Linked DNA regions of Notamacropus eugenii. The protein of the gene in region 3 interacts with the protein of the main gene of each other region in a pairwise test. Links are inferred from orthologs where the notes say so. Each region holds a gene or a part of one and is shown on either strand. Other genes may lie near its edges. The genes, in order: CCER1, EWSR1 and phospholipid scramblase 2-like.

Evidence for each region.
Region 1: the proteins of phospholipid scramblase 2-like (region 3) and CCER1 interact in a two-hybrid assay, tested with the Homo sapiens proteins (2 studies listed by BioGRID and IntAct). The two-hybrid records come from large-scale screens. The link is inferred for Notamacropus eugenii from reciprocal best matches to the Homo sapiens genes PLSCR1 and CCER1.
Region 2: the proteins of phospholipid scramblase 2-like (region 3) and EWSR1 interact in binary tests that used the Homo sapiens proteins (3 or more experiments, as listed by UniProt). The two-hybrid records come from large-scale screens. The link is inferred for Notamacropus eugenii from reciprocal best matches to the Homo sapiens genes PLSCR1 and EWSR1.

What each region holds. Positions count from the first base shown.
Region 1 is NC_092874.1:273,284,141-273,287,884, forward strand, and holds CCER1 (coiled-coil domain-containing glutamate-rich protein 1), read right to left. Parts: upstream 2,502-3,744; 5' UTR 1,890-2,501; coding exon 426-1,889; 3' UTR 318-425; downstream 1-317. UniProt on the Homo sapiens protein: Regulator of histone epigenetic modifications and chromatin compaction into the sperm head, required for histone-to-protamine (HTP) transition.
Region 2 is NC_092875.1:16,382,340-16,386,083, forward strand, and holds the start of EWSR1 (RNA-binding protein EWS), read right to left. Parts: upstream 2,307-3,744; 5' UTR 2,223-2,306; coding exon 2,210-2,222; intron 1,813-2,209; exon of another isoform or gene 1,416-1,812; coding exon of another isoform or gene 1,409-1,415; intron 1-1,408. UniProt on the Homo sapiens protein: Binds to ssRNA containing the consensus sequence 5'-AGGUAA-3'. Might normally function as a transcriptional repressor. EWS-fusion-proteins (EFPS) may play a role in the tumorigenic process.
Region 3 is NC_092877.1:335,160,640-335,164,383, forward strand, and holds the start of phospholipid scramblase 2-like, read right to left. Parts: upstream 2,803-3,744; 5' UTR 2,721-2,802; exon of another isoform or gene 2,717-2,720; intron 189-2,716; 5' UTR 82-188; coding exon 19-81; intron 1-18. UniProt on the Homo sapiens protein: Catalyzes calcium-induced ATP-independent rapid bidirectional and non-specific movement of phospholipids (lipid scrambling or lipid flip-flop) between the inner and outer leaflet of the plasma membrane resulting in collapse of the phospholipid asymmetry which leads to phosphatidylserine externalization on the cell surface.

The DNA.
Region 1 (3,744 bases), on a different chromosome or scaffold from region 3:
TATCATATAAATATAATTATATATGTATTACATATAGTACATATAACATGTTATAACAAATTATAATCATAATATAAGATATATAATATATATTTAAATTACATACATATTATATTATAATTACAATAATATGGTATACAACTATAATAATATAATAGATGTATAAAATACTTTAGTTAAAACAAAAGTGTCCTATAAAGCAATTACCACCACACTCCCGGTTTGGGGCCTCCCTCCCTCCTTGTCCCTACTGTTCCTTGCACACAAACACCACTAATGCTTTTAATCACCTTACAATTTTATCAAGGAGGGGTGCGCATAGATAATATTTATTCATGGAACTCACTTTTATATTAGATTTTTTAGATGCTAATTTCATTTTAACCCAACAGTCAGTTCCATCCCGTTGCTCCTGCCCTCTCAGTCTAACACAGCACCTTCTTCACAATCATGGGGAATCTCTCTTGAAGCTTCTGGAAGATTCTCCCCTCCCGGGTCAGAAACTCATAGTTCAGAAGGTGCTCCGGCTCCTCTGCTCCCGGGGCTCCAGGGCCGGCGGGAGGGCTGGGCGGGGGGTTCTGATCCTCCTCCTCGGAGTCCTCCTCCTCCTCTTCCTCTTCTTCCTCTCTCAGCTCTTCCTCCTCTGATTCATCCTCTTCCTCTCCGTACTGCTCCTCCTCCTCCTCCTCATTCTCCTCCTCCTCTTCTTCCTCCTCCTCCTCCTCCTCTTCTTCTTCTTTCTCTTCCTCTTCCTCCTCTTCTTCTTCCTCCTCCTCCTCCTCGTCCTTCTCCTCCTCCTCTTCGTCGTCTTCCCCATCCTCCTCCTCTATTCCCTCCCTCTGCAGAGGAAGGCAGAGCGCGTGCCTCCGGTGCTGGTCCTCCTGGCCATCATCCTCCTGGTCCTCCTGGTCCTCGTCCTCCTGGTCCTCGTCCTCGTCCTCCTGGTCCTCGTCCTCCTCGTCCTCCTGGTCCTCGTCCTCCTCGTCCTCCTGGTCTTCCCGGTCCTCGTCCTCGTCCTGCTCCCCGGCGGTCGCGGGGCCGGGCACGAGGCAGCAGAGCCGCTTCTGCACAAAGCTGTAGAAGGTCTCCTGCAGCAGCCTCATCTCCTCGTCCTCTTCGGCCCTGCTGTGAACGGGCTGGAGCGCTGCACTGCACTCTGGAGGGACCGATGCTGCGTCTGCTGCTGCTGCCGCCGCTGAGGCTGCGGCTGCGGCCTGCCTGGCCCGCAGGGCCTCCTGCTGGCGCTCCTGCTTCTCCTGCTTGCGCATGTCCTCGTAGACCTGGTTCATGATGAACTGCGTGGTGTTGCGCGGGGCTCGCATGCCGGGCGCCCGGCGGCCGTACAGGTTGACCGGGCGCAGCAGGGCGCTCAGGTCCACGGGCGGGCCGCTGTGCAGTGGGCGCCGGGGATGGCCACGCCGCACGCCCCTGCCCTTCCTTCCCCAGCGCTTCTTCTTCTTCTTGGGGTAGATGCGCCCCGGGCCGGGCTGGTCGGGCGCGTTCCAGCAGGAGCAGCAGCATGGACAGGGAGGCCTCAGTCCGTACACCCGCACCACCTGCACACCGCTCGGCGGCCTCCAAACTTCCACTGGTGGGCAGCGCCACGGAGAGGGGGTCCAGCAGCCCCTGGGGCCCCAGCAGCTGGGGCTGGCCAGGCGCTCTGGGCGCCGCTGCGCATGGGGCCACCGTGGGCCCGACTCATGCTGGTGCTTCGCCTGCTTTCGCAGCTCCTGGTACTCCAGCTTGGGGCCAGAGCGGTGGCGCCTTCGGAACATCGAGGTGCTCCTCCGCCGGCGGTGGCACGGGGACCAAGGAGGGAGAGGAGACGGAGAGGACCAGCCGCCGCCCAGGTTCAGCGGGTCTGCCCGTCGGTCAAGGGCCAGGGCCATGCCTTCTTCCCACAGCTGTCTCGTTGAGGGCTGTAGATGATGCTGGTGGACCCCAACCCTGCGAGAGCGGGGCCACAGGGCGAAGAGGGGTTGACCCCCGAAGATCTTGGGTGGCACCTGCACCTTGCACCTGGAGACGCCGCTTTCGCCCCACGTGGGCCTGCCCTCTGCGATCTGGTCTTCTCTCCAAAAGGCCCTTTTGCCTTGCGCTCGTCCTTCTAGCCTTCTTTCTCCCTGACTTCTTTATTTTCCCTCCTCTTTGCCTTCGCACCTGAGAAGTTACCTCTCCCAGGCTAGATGATGGATGGATGGATGAATGGGTGTATAGATGGATGGATGGAAGGGTGGGTGTATGGATGAATGAATGGATGGGTGGGTGGGGCAAGGGGGGCTGAGTAAGGATGGTCGGGGGGAGGGGAGTTTATTGGTGAGCTACGCGCTGTGAGCCCCGCTTCCCGTTCCCTCACAAACCCGTCTCCGCAGTAATGCGGGGGTGGGGGTTGGGGGTGGGCCGGGGGAGCGCGTTACCTTGCTGCACCCTCTCTCAGCTCAGGTGCCAGTGTGGTCGCCGGTCCAGGCCGGACTGAGGGGGGCGCGGGGCCGGAGCTGCTTCAAATACCGGCCGGGGGCCCCGCGTGCCCACAGCGTCCCTGGTTACTCCTGGCAACAGCCAATCAGAGGGCTGGATTGTGCTCCCAGTGTGTGAAGCCGAGGTTCGGCCGCAGAACTAGGGGTTGTATGAGTATTCTCTAGGGGCTTGTGACGCAGCTGGGGGCAAGGGGGTCTAAGGAGAGGGGCAGGTAATGAGGGCTGGGTTGGCTACTCAGAAGGAGCTCAAATTCCAGAGTTCCTTAGACTAGGTTTTTGGGGGCTCTGGAAAGGGGGGAAGGACAGGATTGGCCCTCAGGAGTTTAAAGAGCTCTGGAGATGGTCAGATTTAGAACCTCGAGTAAACTTAAAAAATCTTAGAAATGGAAGGAAGCTTAGGAGATCATCTGGTACCTACACCAACACCCCTTTCATTTTACAGATTCAGAAACTGAGGCCCAGTGAGGAGGAAGTGACTTGCCCAGGGTCACACAGCTAGTAAGAAGCAGAGCTGAAATTCATAGGAAGTTTGTCTAATACTAAATTCAATATTCTTCCCAATATGCCAGGTCACTTCCTTCATTTAATCAACCCCATCTATCAATTTTAGGAAACCAACTCAGAGAGACTGAGTGGTATCAATTGACAAAACATGTATTTCAACTTACTTTGGTCAAGGTACCTTCCGAGACCTTATGTACCACCACAAGCTGAGTGGGTTTTTGTTTTTGTTTAGTTTAGTTTAGTTTAATTTAGTTTAGTTTAGTTTAGTTTTAGTTTTGGTTTTCGCTTTGTTTTGTTTTTTCAGGCAGTCTAGCCACATGAATCAAAATGACCACTGCCTATCCTTTTACTGTGCTTGATAAATGCTTCTTTCACTCATTCATTGAGTCACTGTGAGTTAATTAAAGAAACTGAACTCACAAAGCCATTTCACTCATCCATTTAGATATTAGGATTCAAATCTGCAGCCTCTTTTTGCCCTATGGTAGCAAAAGTCAATTAAACCTTACTCTGCCAATTCGGAGCTGTGGCTTGCAATCCCAAAAGGTTGATGTATTTCTCAGAATCACTTATTTGCAGGGATAAGAGGAACGTTGCAAGAACAGAACATGACCTGCTGAGAACGCTGGTTTCTACAAGCCTTCATTAAATCAAGAAAGAGCATAGTGAGTAGGAAATGTGCAGTCTGCTGAGATCACTCTTTTAAGTCTTGGTTGAAAATTGAGACTAGTATGGGGTCCCTGAGTTTTAACAGTTTGCACTG
Region 2 (3,744 bases), on a different chromosome or scaffold from region 3:
TCAACAAGTATTGACCAAGCCACTTTTAGGGACTTAGTTACCCACCCAATGCTCCTATACCGAATGAATTCAATCAAGGACAAGTATATCTTTAGATTAGCTATCAAAATCAAATACTACATGCTGCAGGAGAGAAGGAGAAGCTTTCAAAATCTACTTCCCCCCTTTCTCTAGGTTTTGGCAGGAGCAATTCCTCTTCGAAAGGCATGAAGGAGAAATGTAGGTAGAGTGCAAAGAAAAACACTTTCCCATTCTTTGTGCATTTCACACAAAGGTTTCTTTCTAGGGTCACTCCCATCTTACTTAGGTCTGTATCTAAAGACCCAGGTTTTATTGTTCAACGGAGGGATAGAAGCCAGAAGCCAGAGTGCCTCAGGGCAGTATCTAATAGGGGGCAGAGACCTAAGTAGGGTAACGTCCTCTCAGTTCCCTCCCACAACCATTAAGTTTAAGAGGCTCCAAATACCCCCAGGAAATAAAACAAATTCATGGAAAGTTGGAGGGAACAGCTAATTACATTTGAATTGGCTTATTCCTAAATGCATGAAATCCTTCACAGCAATTACATCTTAAACTAATGCATAGAGCTTAATAAGTCAACAACTTTCCTTAAGCCCAAAAGCTAGCTAAAAGATTCTCTCGTCATACACTTAATCAACCCAGGTTTTCCAACAATCCTGGAAGCCAAAAAGTACAAATATTACTTAGCCATAATTCAAGATAAGTCCTGCCTTTTGTTCTTTTTAGGTCAGAGATTCCGAATAATCCACGGAAACACCATTAAGTTGAGCTACCTAGATACATGGCTCTGGGTACCTCTACCTATCTACGAATTTGCTAATTTCAAAAAAACAAATTAGCGGAAAAGATAACGCAAAGTTCTTCTAATAACAGAAAACTGTGGAGACAGTTTACATTTCAGAGCAGATCCCTTCCAACTCCAGTCCAACAAGATTTTACCGTTGTTTCACTCTAACGCCCAGAGACGGTAGGGCCAGCGGACTCCGTCTCTCAGAACCGCCTGAAGGCCCACGAAGGCACTCCAGGGGTTCTAAAGTCACAGTCTCTCCCAAAGGCAGCACGATCCCAGCTCCCTTTCAAAATCTGGGCAAACGAACAAGTCGCTTCCCCTCGTCCAGAACTGCGAGCTCAGCACTTCCCCTTCCAGCTTACTTCTGAGAGCGTCCGCCAGCCCAGGATTAAAAGGCCCGAAGCGGCCCCTCGGGCCCCCTCCCGTCCAGACCACGGATCCCAGGAGAGCAGCCGAGAGCAGGGCAGACAAAGGCCTCGCGGACTCGTGGCTGGAGGGGCCAAGCCGCTCTAAGCCCTCCCTTCCCGGGCTCAGGGGGTCCCGCGGCGGCCGCCCCCCCAGGGCGTTCCTCGAGGGCAGGGGCTGGGCTTGGCTTACCGGCCATAGCGGCCCAGACCGGAGGGGGAGGTCTCGCCGCCTCGGCCTGCCTCAGTTTCCTCCGCTGTAACGGGCAGGTTCCGGCCGCCGCGGGGCGGCAGGTGACAGGTCCTCCGCTAACGCCCCCAGCCCCGTCCCGCCCCCGGGGAACCCCTTCGGAGGCAGCTCCCCGCCCGGAGGCGCCCTCCCACCGGCATCAGGGCGGCTCCGGGGCATCAGCGGAGCAAACGGCGCCTGCCCTCGAGGAGCGGCCACTCGCAGGGCGTGGCGGCTGCGGGTCCCGGCAGGGGCCGGCCCACGTGGCGGGAAGTGCGCGCGGGCCGCGGGGAGGCCTCTCCCGGGGACACAATGGAAGCGGCGGCGGGCGGACGACGGCGGCCCGGCCGGGCCAACGCGAACCCGGGCGCGAAGCGGCGGGAGCGGGAGCGCGCGCGCACGGCCGCCCCCCTCCCTCCCGCCGCGCGCCCCCGCCGTCGCCGCGCGCCCCCCGCCCCCGCCGCGAACGAGCCGAGGCCCCCACCCGGCCCGCTCCCCGCCCACCCGCCCGCGCGCCGGGAAGGGGGAGGGGGGCGGCGGAAGGTTCCAGAATCCCACCCGCCCGCGGCGGGGAGGGGGAGGGGGAAGGGAAGAAGGGCGAAGGTAGGCCCCAAGCCCGCCCCGCGGCCCGGCCGCGCAGCGCCGCCTCCACCCGCCGCCCCCCAGGCCCCGAGAAGACCCCCGCGGTGGCGCCCCCAACCCCGAAGGCCTCAGCTCCCTCGGCTGCCGGCACGGCGTGCCCTGGGGCCCCGGCGCCATACTCACCCGTGGACGCCATTTTCTCTCCTTCCTCCTCCTCGTTCTCTCAACGTCCGTCTCTCTCTCCCTCGGTCGCTTGCCCTCTCGGCGCCGCACTGCGCAGGCGCGGACCGCACAACCTCGGGCTCTACCACTAGGATTGGTCCGCGGGGGGGGAGGGGAAGAGGCGAAGGAGACGGAGAGAGGCGAGGGGAGGGCTTTCCGACCCAACTCTCGCCTCAGTCGGGAGGGGGTGGGGTCGGGAGGCTGGGGGCGTCTAAGTATCTCCTGAAGCGCCACGAACCGCCCCTACGAACGAGCCCTGGGGGCGGGGCGGTCACCGATCCTACTCCCCAACGGGGCATAGATTGGAAGAATGGTTCCGTCCTGGGTTTGTTAGGGACCGTCCCACAATAGTCCTCCCCGAGGAAAAACGAAGACGAGCCGGAGCGTTGGGGGAAGGGATCCTGGGGCCGTGGCACAACTGCTGACTAATCGTGGAGGGGGGAGTCTGGAGGGGGGGCCAGGTTGGGACCCGCTCCGCCAGAGGGAGAGCCACGTGGCTGGCCCGGGCTTCGATGGCACTTGGCGTATCAGTTTCCGAGTCTTGAAATGGCCGGGGGTCTTTGTACCCTTGGCTCTGGAAGTCTGGGTTTGACCCCCCAGCCTCCTGCCCCTCCAAGGGGCATCGACTCCCCCTCCCGGAGAGCTGACCTTGGGAGGGCCCAGCCCCTCCATGCCCCACTTTACAGATGAGGAAACTGAGGCCCAGAGGGGACAAGGGACTGGCCCGAGTCCGCCCAGGGGGCCCGACCCGGACAAAAGAGGAAACCCATAAGGGGACTGGCTTGTCCAGACCGTCAGTATTTGAACTCAGACCCCACCCCAAGCCTATCTCCAAATGCATGGATCCTCTGCCTGATCTGGGTTCAAAGTTTCAGCCGGTCGCCGGACCTCTTTTAGTCCAGCCCCTTCACTTTACAGTAGAGGGAGCTGAGGTCCGGAGAAGAACTCGCAGCCAGTCCATAGGATCCTCTTGGACACATACTATTCTGATCCACGCGGTACAGTGGAAAGTGTCCGACGTGAAGTCAAATCTAGGATGCTTTGTGTGACCTTGACAAATTGTCCGACCTTTCTCACCTGTAAAATGCAGGCTGGAGAATTGGATTAGATGCCTTCTGGGGTTCCTGCCAGCACTCAATTTTTAAATTTAAGTAAAATTTGATTTTTTTCAATGAACAAAAATTCGCCTTGTCTCTGTCTCCTGCCCTGTTGAAAAAGAAAACCCTTGTAACAAATTCTATTTATTCATTGTCTTTTGAGAGATGTAAGCCGTCTCCACATTTTAAAAATTGCTTTTAGCGATACCTTTTGGTTTTGCTATCACCTACATTTCCCCCCATATCTTTTGTCCTCAACCTGAGAGACATGCCTTGTAACCAAAAAAGTATATATAGATTTTTTGAAGAGGAAGAGAAAAAAAGGCAAAGCCAATCACTGCACGAAAAGAACTCGATGCTATTTCCATCCTTCTTCACTCATAGACCTTTACCCCTCTC
Region 3 (3,744 bases):
GTTGGATAAGACACTGACCTCTTCCAGAGCTGAAATGATGATTTTATAATCCTGAAATAAATTGTTGATGGAAAGAGACATGATCTGGGCTCTGTGAGTTCATTTTGGTTTCCAATGTGTCCTGAAATATTTTTATTTTGGTTTTGGTTGGTGCTTTATGCAAAGCAATTCTCTTCCACATCTGGAAACTGATTAAATATGGAAGTTCAGTGTATTAACCAATTTAAGTTTATTTTTATAAATGTATTAACCAATGAAGTATATTAACCAGTTATGTAAACTTATTAGCCAATGAAGAGAATAAATAATTTTCCTTTTTTCCTCTCTTCTAATCCTTAGTGGATATTTACTTTTTTTCCTTCTCAATAATCCTGAGAAAACCTAAATACTATTAGAGGGAACTTCTGCTATTAAGAAAACAAATTACCTGTGGATGCTTTTACTGACTGCTTCTGTCTGAGCAAGGCTCATTGAATGAATCATTGTTCTCTAAACAGCCCTGACAGAAACAAAACAAAATTCCCAAGACTACAGGAAAGGCTGTTCTTGGAAAAGGAGGATGAGTATACCAAGATTTCCAGGAATCATTAAAAAATAAATGAAAACATACGGACAATTGGACTATATTAACTCTGTACCAGCAGGGATTGTATACTATGCCATTTGAGAGAGTATTCCATACCATTCCACATTTCCCTAATAGCACATAAGAAGTTTTCAGTAAATAATTTTAGTTTTCCTTCCTTCTTTCTTTCCTTTTTTCCTCTTTCTTTCTTTCTTACTCTTTTTCTTTCCTTCCTTTTTGCCCCTTTCTTCTTAGTTCCTTCCTGACTTCCTTGGATGAGAAAATGGAATTGTTTGTTGTACGTCCAGATGACTTTTCCTTGGTCCTTATTCCAGGACTCTTAACTGGACAAAGTAGCACAAATTCAAGGGGAAGAGGCATCACACTTCTTCCATTCAGAATTAGTAGAGCAGTAAAGCCAATCCTTGTTCAGTCTCCTGGGTGAACTCCAGTTCTGAAATTCTCTACCTCTTTACCTCCATCTCCTAGTTTTCCACTAACTTCACTCAGCTAAAATCCCCCATTCTGAAGGAGTCCTTCCTGGTTCCTCCCCAGAGTTCTAGTGCCTTCCTCTCTAAGTTCCCCTTTGGCCTTTATTATATCTTCTGTATCTATTTGCATGGTGTTCTCTCTAGTACTTTATGAGATCCTTAGGACAGAAACTGTTTTTGTCTTTCTTTGCTTTGCTGTTAGCATAGAACCTTGATATAGTGACTGTTTTAATAAACTGTTGACTGACTGGAAGTTGGAGTGGCAGATTTTAGCTGTAGGTTAAGGAGAAAAAAGGTGGTATAGTGAAAGGAGTTTAGGGCCTGGAGTCAGGAAGACTCATCTTCCTGAGCTCAGATGGCCCTCAGACACTTACAAGCTGAGTGACCTTGGGCAAGTCACTAAACTCTGTATGCCTCCCTTTCCTCATCTGTAAAATGAGCTGGAGAAAGAAATGGCAGGCCACCCTAGTATCTTTGACAAGAAAAGTCTAAATGGGGTCATGAAGAGCTGGACATCGCTGCATAAGGACCAAGCTACAGCGACAAAAGAAAATACTGCACAACTTTCTCAGATGAGAGCTTGCAGTTGGCTGTCTCTGGGGGTTGGGAGGCCGTAAGCCCTCTGTCCTCTTTTTAATTAACCTCTGCATGCTCCAGGCTTCGGGAAGCATTTGTTAGGTATGCATGGAGGAGTTTATTTTTCCTGTGCGAGTTGGTTTACATATACTATGCTTTTCTTTCCTGCTCAGATATTTGATTAGGGATTGCACAATTTTGGAAAGACCAGCTCAGCTACTCCAGTAAGCAGCCAGCCAGCCAGCCGTTCATCCAGGCTTTTTGCTACAGGAGACTCACTATTTCTTTTTAACTTTCGGTCTCTTTTTTCTTGTTTCTGTTCCTTATTTTTCCAAGCACAATCGTTCTCATACTACTCTGGCATTCTTGCCTCCAAAGATAACCAGAACTCAAGACCGGCAACCTTCAGGTCACGTCCCACACCTACCACTTCCTACCCTCCTCTTGTCCCGCACTCCCTAAATCCATCCCCTCCCCCTGCACTCCAGACGTCCAGAGGGACAACTTCCCCTTCCCACCCTCAACCGAGCCCAGGAATCCCACAAGGATCTCTAATAAAGCCGAGCAGCAGACACACTCCACCCCCTCCCCTTGCTTCCCCTCTCCCTGAATTGAGGGGCTTCCGGCTCACTCCACTTCGAATCCGACCTGTAGACTCTCTCTCCCCCAACTGTCTCCCCTCTCTGTCTCCCCTCTCTGTCTCCCGTCTCTTTCTCTCTCTGTCTCTCTCTGTCTCTGTCTCTCTGTCTCTGTCTGTCTCTCTGTCTCTCTCTGTCTCTGTCTCTGTCTCTCTGTCTGTCTCTGTCTCTGTCTCTGTCTCTGTCTCTCTCTCTCTCTCTGTCTCTGTCTCTCTCTCTCTCTCATTCTCTCTCTCTCTCTCTCTCTCTCTCTCTCTCTCTCTCTCTCTCTCTCTCTCTCTCTCTCTCTCTCTCTCTCCTCCCTCCCTCCCTCCCTCCCTTCCTCCCTCTCTCCCTCTCTTTCTCTCTAAAACACTAACAGAAAACGAATGACAGCTAAAGACGTATTTCCCACTGAGTTCTCTTGTGTGGACCCAGATGCGGTGTTTCCACCCTCATACACTTACCTACCTGAATCTAATCTTCTGGCTTCACTCTTGAACTGTGATTAAATGTCCTCCACCGGCGGAAACAGAAAAAAAGAAAAGAAAAACGAACCAGGGAACTAGAAGCTGCTAACCAGCAGTCTCCGCCCTTGCAATACAATTGAACCACTAGGGAGACGTCCTTTTGAAAACATACTTTCATAAACCGTATCCCTTCCCTTTTGAGTGAGGCTGGTGACTGCACAGCCTTGCCTTACTCACCTTCCTGACGTCATTGGTCCTCTTCAAGAACGAGAGATGAACGACAGTTCCCTCTACTTTTCATTTCTTCCTTCTGTTTTTATGTTACATAAAATAATGTAGTTACCTCTATTCCTTTCCAAAGTCTAAGATAAAATTCAATGTTGAGACATCAATTGATGGTCATCGTGAAAAGAGGCACTCATGTATACGCTGCTTTCCTAACGGTACTGGAAACACCTTCTAATGGAGAGAAGAGGGAAGCTTGAATTTTTGCCTGTGAATTGGAGCGATTCATATCAATAGGAGGGAATGACACACGTGGGCAGGTTTTCTATAGACCTGGAATACTATTGAAGGAAACTGAGTTGGAGCTCTGATTCAAAGGAAGATAAACCATCATAGGAGGAAGGAGATGGAAAGGACCTAAAAGGGTCCACTCCTTCATTTTACAGATGAAGGAATTGAGCCTGAGAAGATGACTGCCTTGTCCAGATGCAGCTAGGTGCCTGAGGCTGGATTTCCTGACTCCAAGTCAGGAAGCATGGTGCTTCTTACATTTTGGCCAGGAGTTCATTCCCAGTACTCAAGCCTGCTTGGGCAAAGGCTTGAAGATAAGAAATAAAGGGACATTTGAAATGGATGTGTGATGGGATTAGTGAGAAGAGTGAAATCAGGATTAGTTAGAAAACCTTGAAGCTTTCCACTATCGTTTGTTGGTCACCTGCTATGTACCAAGGGCTGAACTTAGTACTCAAGATATAAAAGTCCTGAATTCATGGAGTTTACATACTTACTAGATCCTTTGA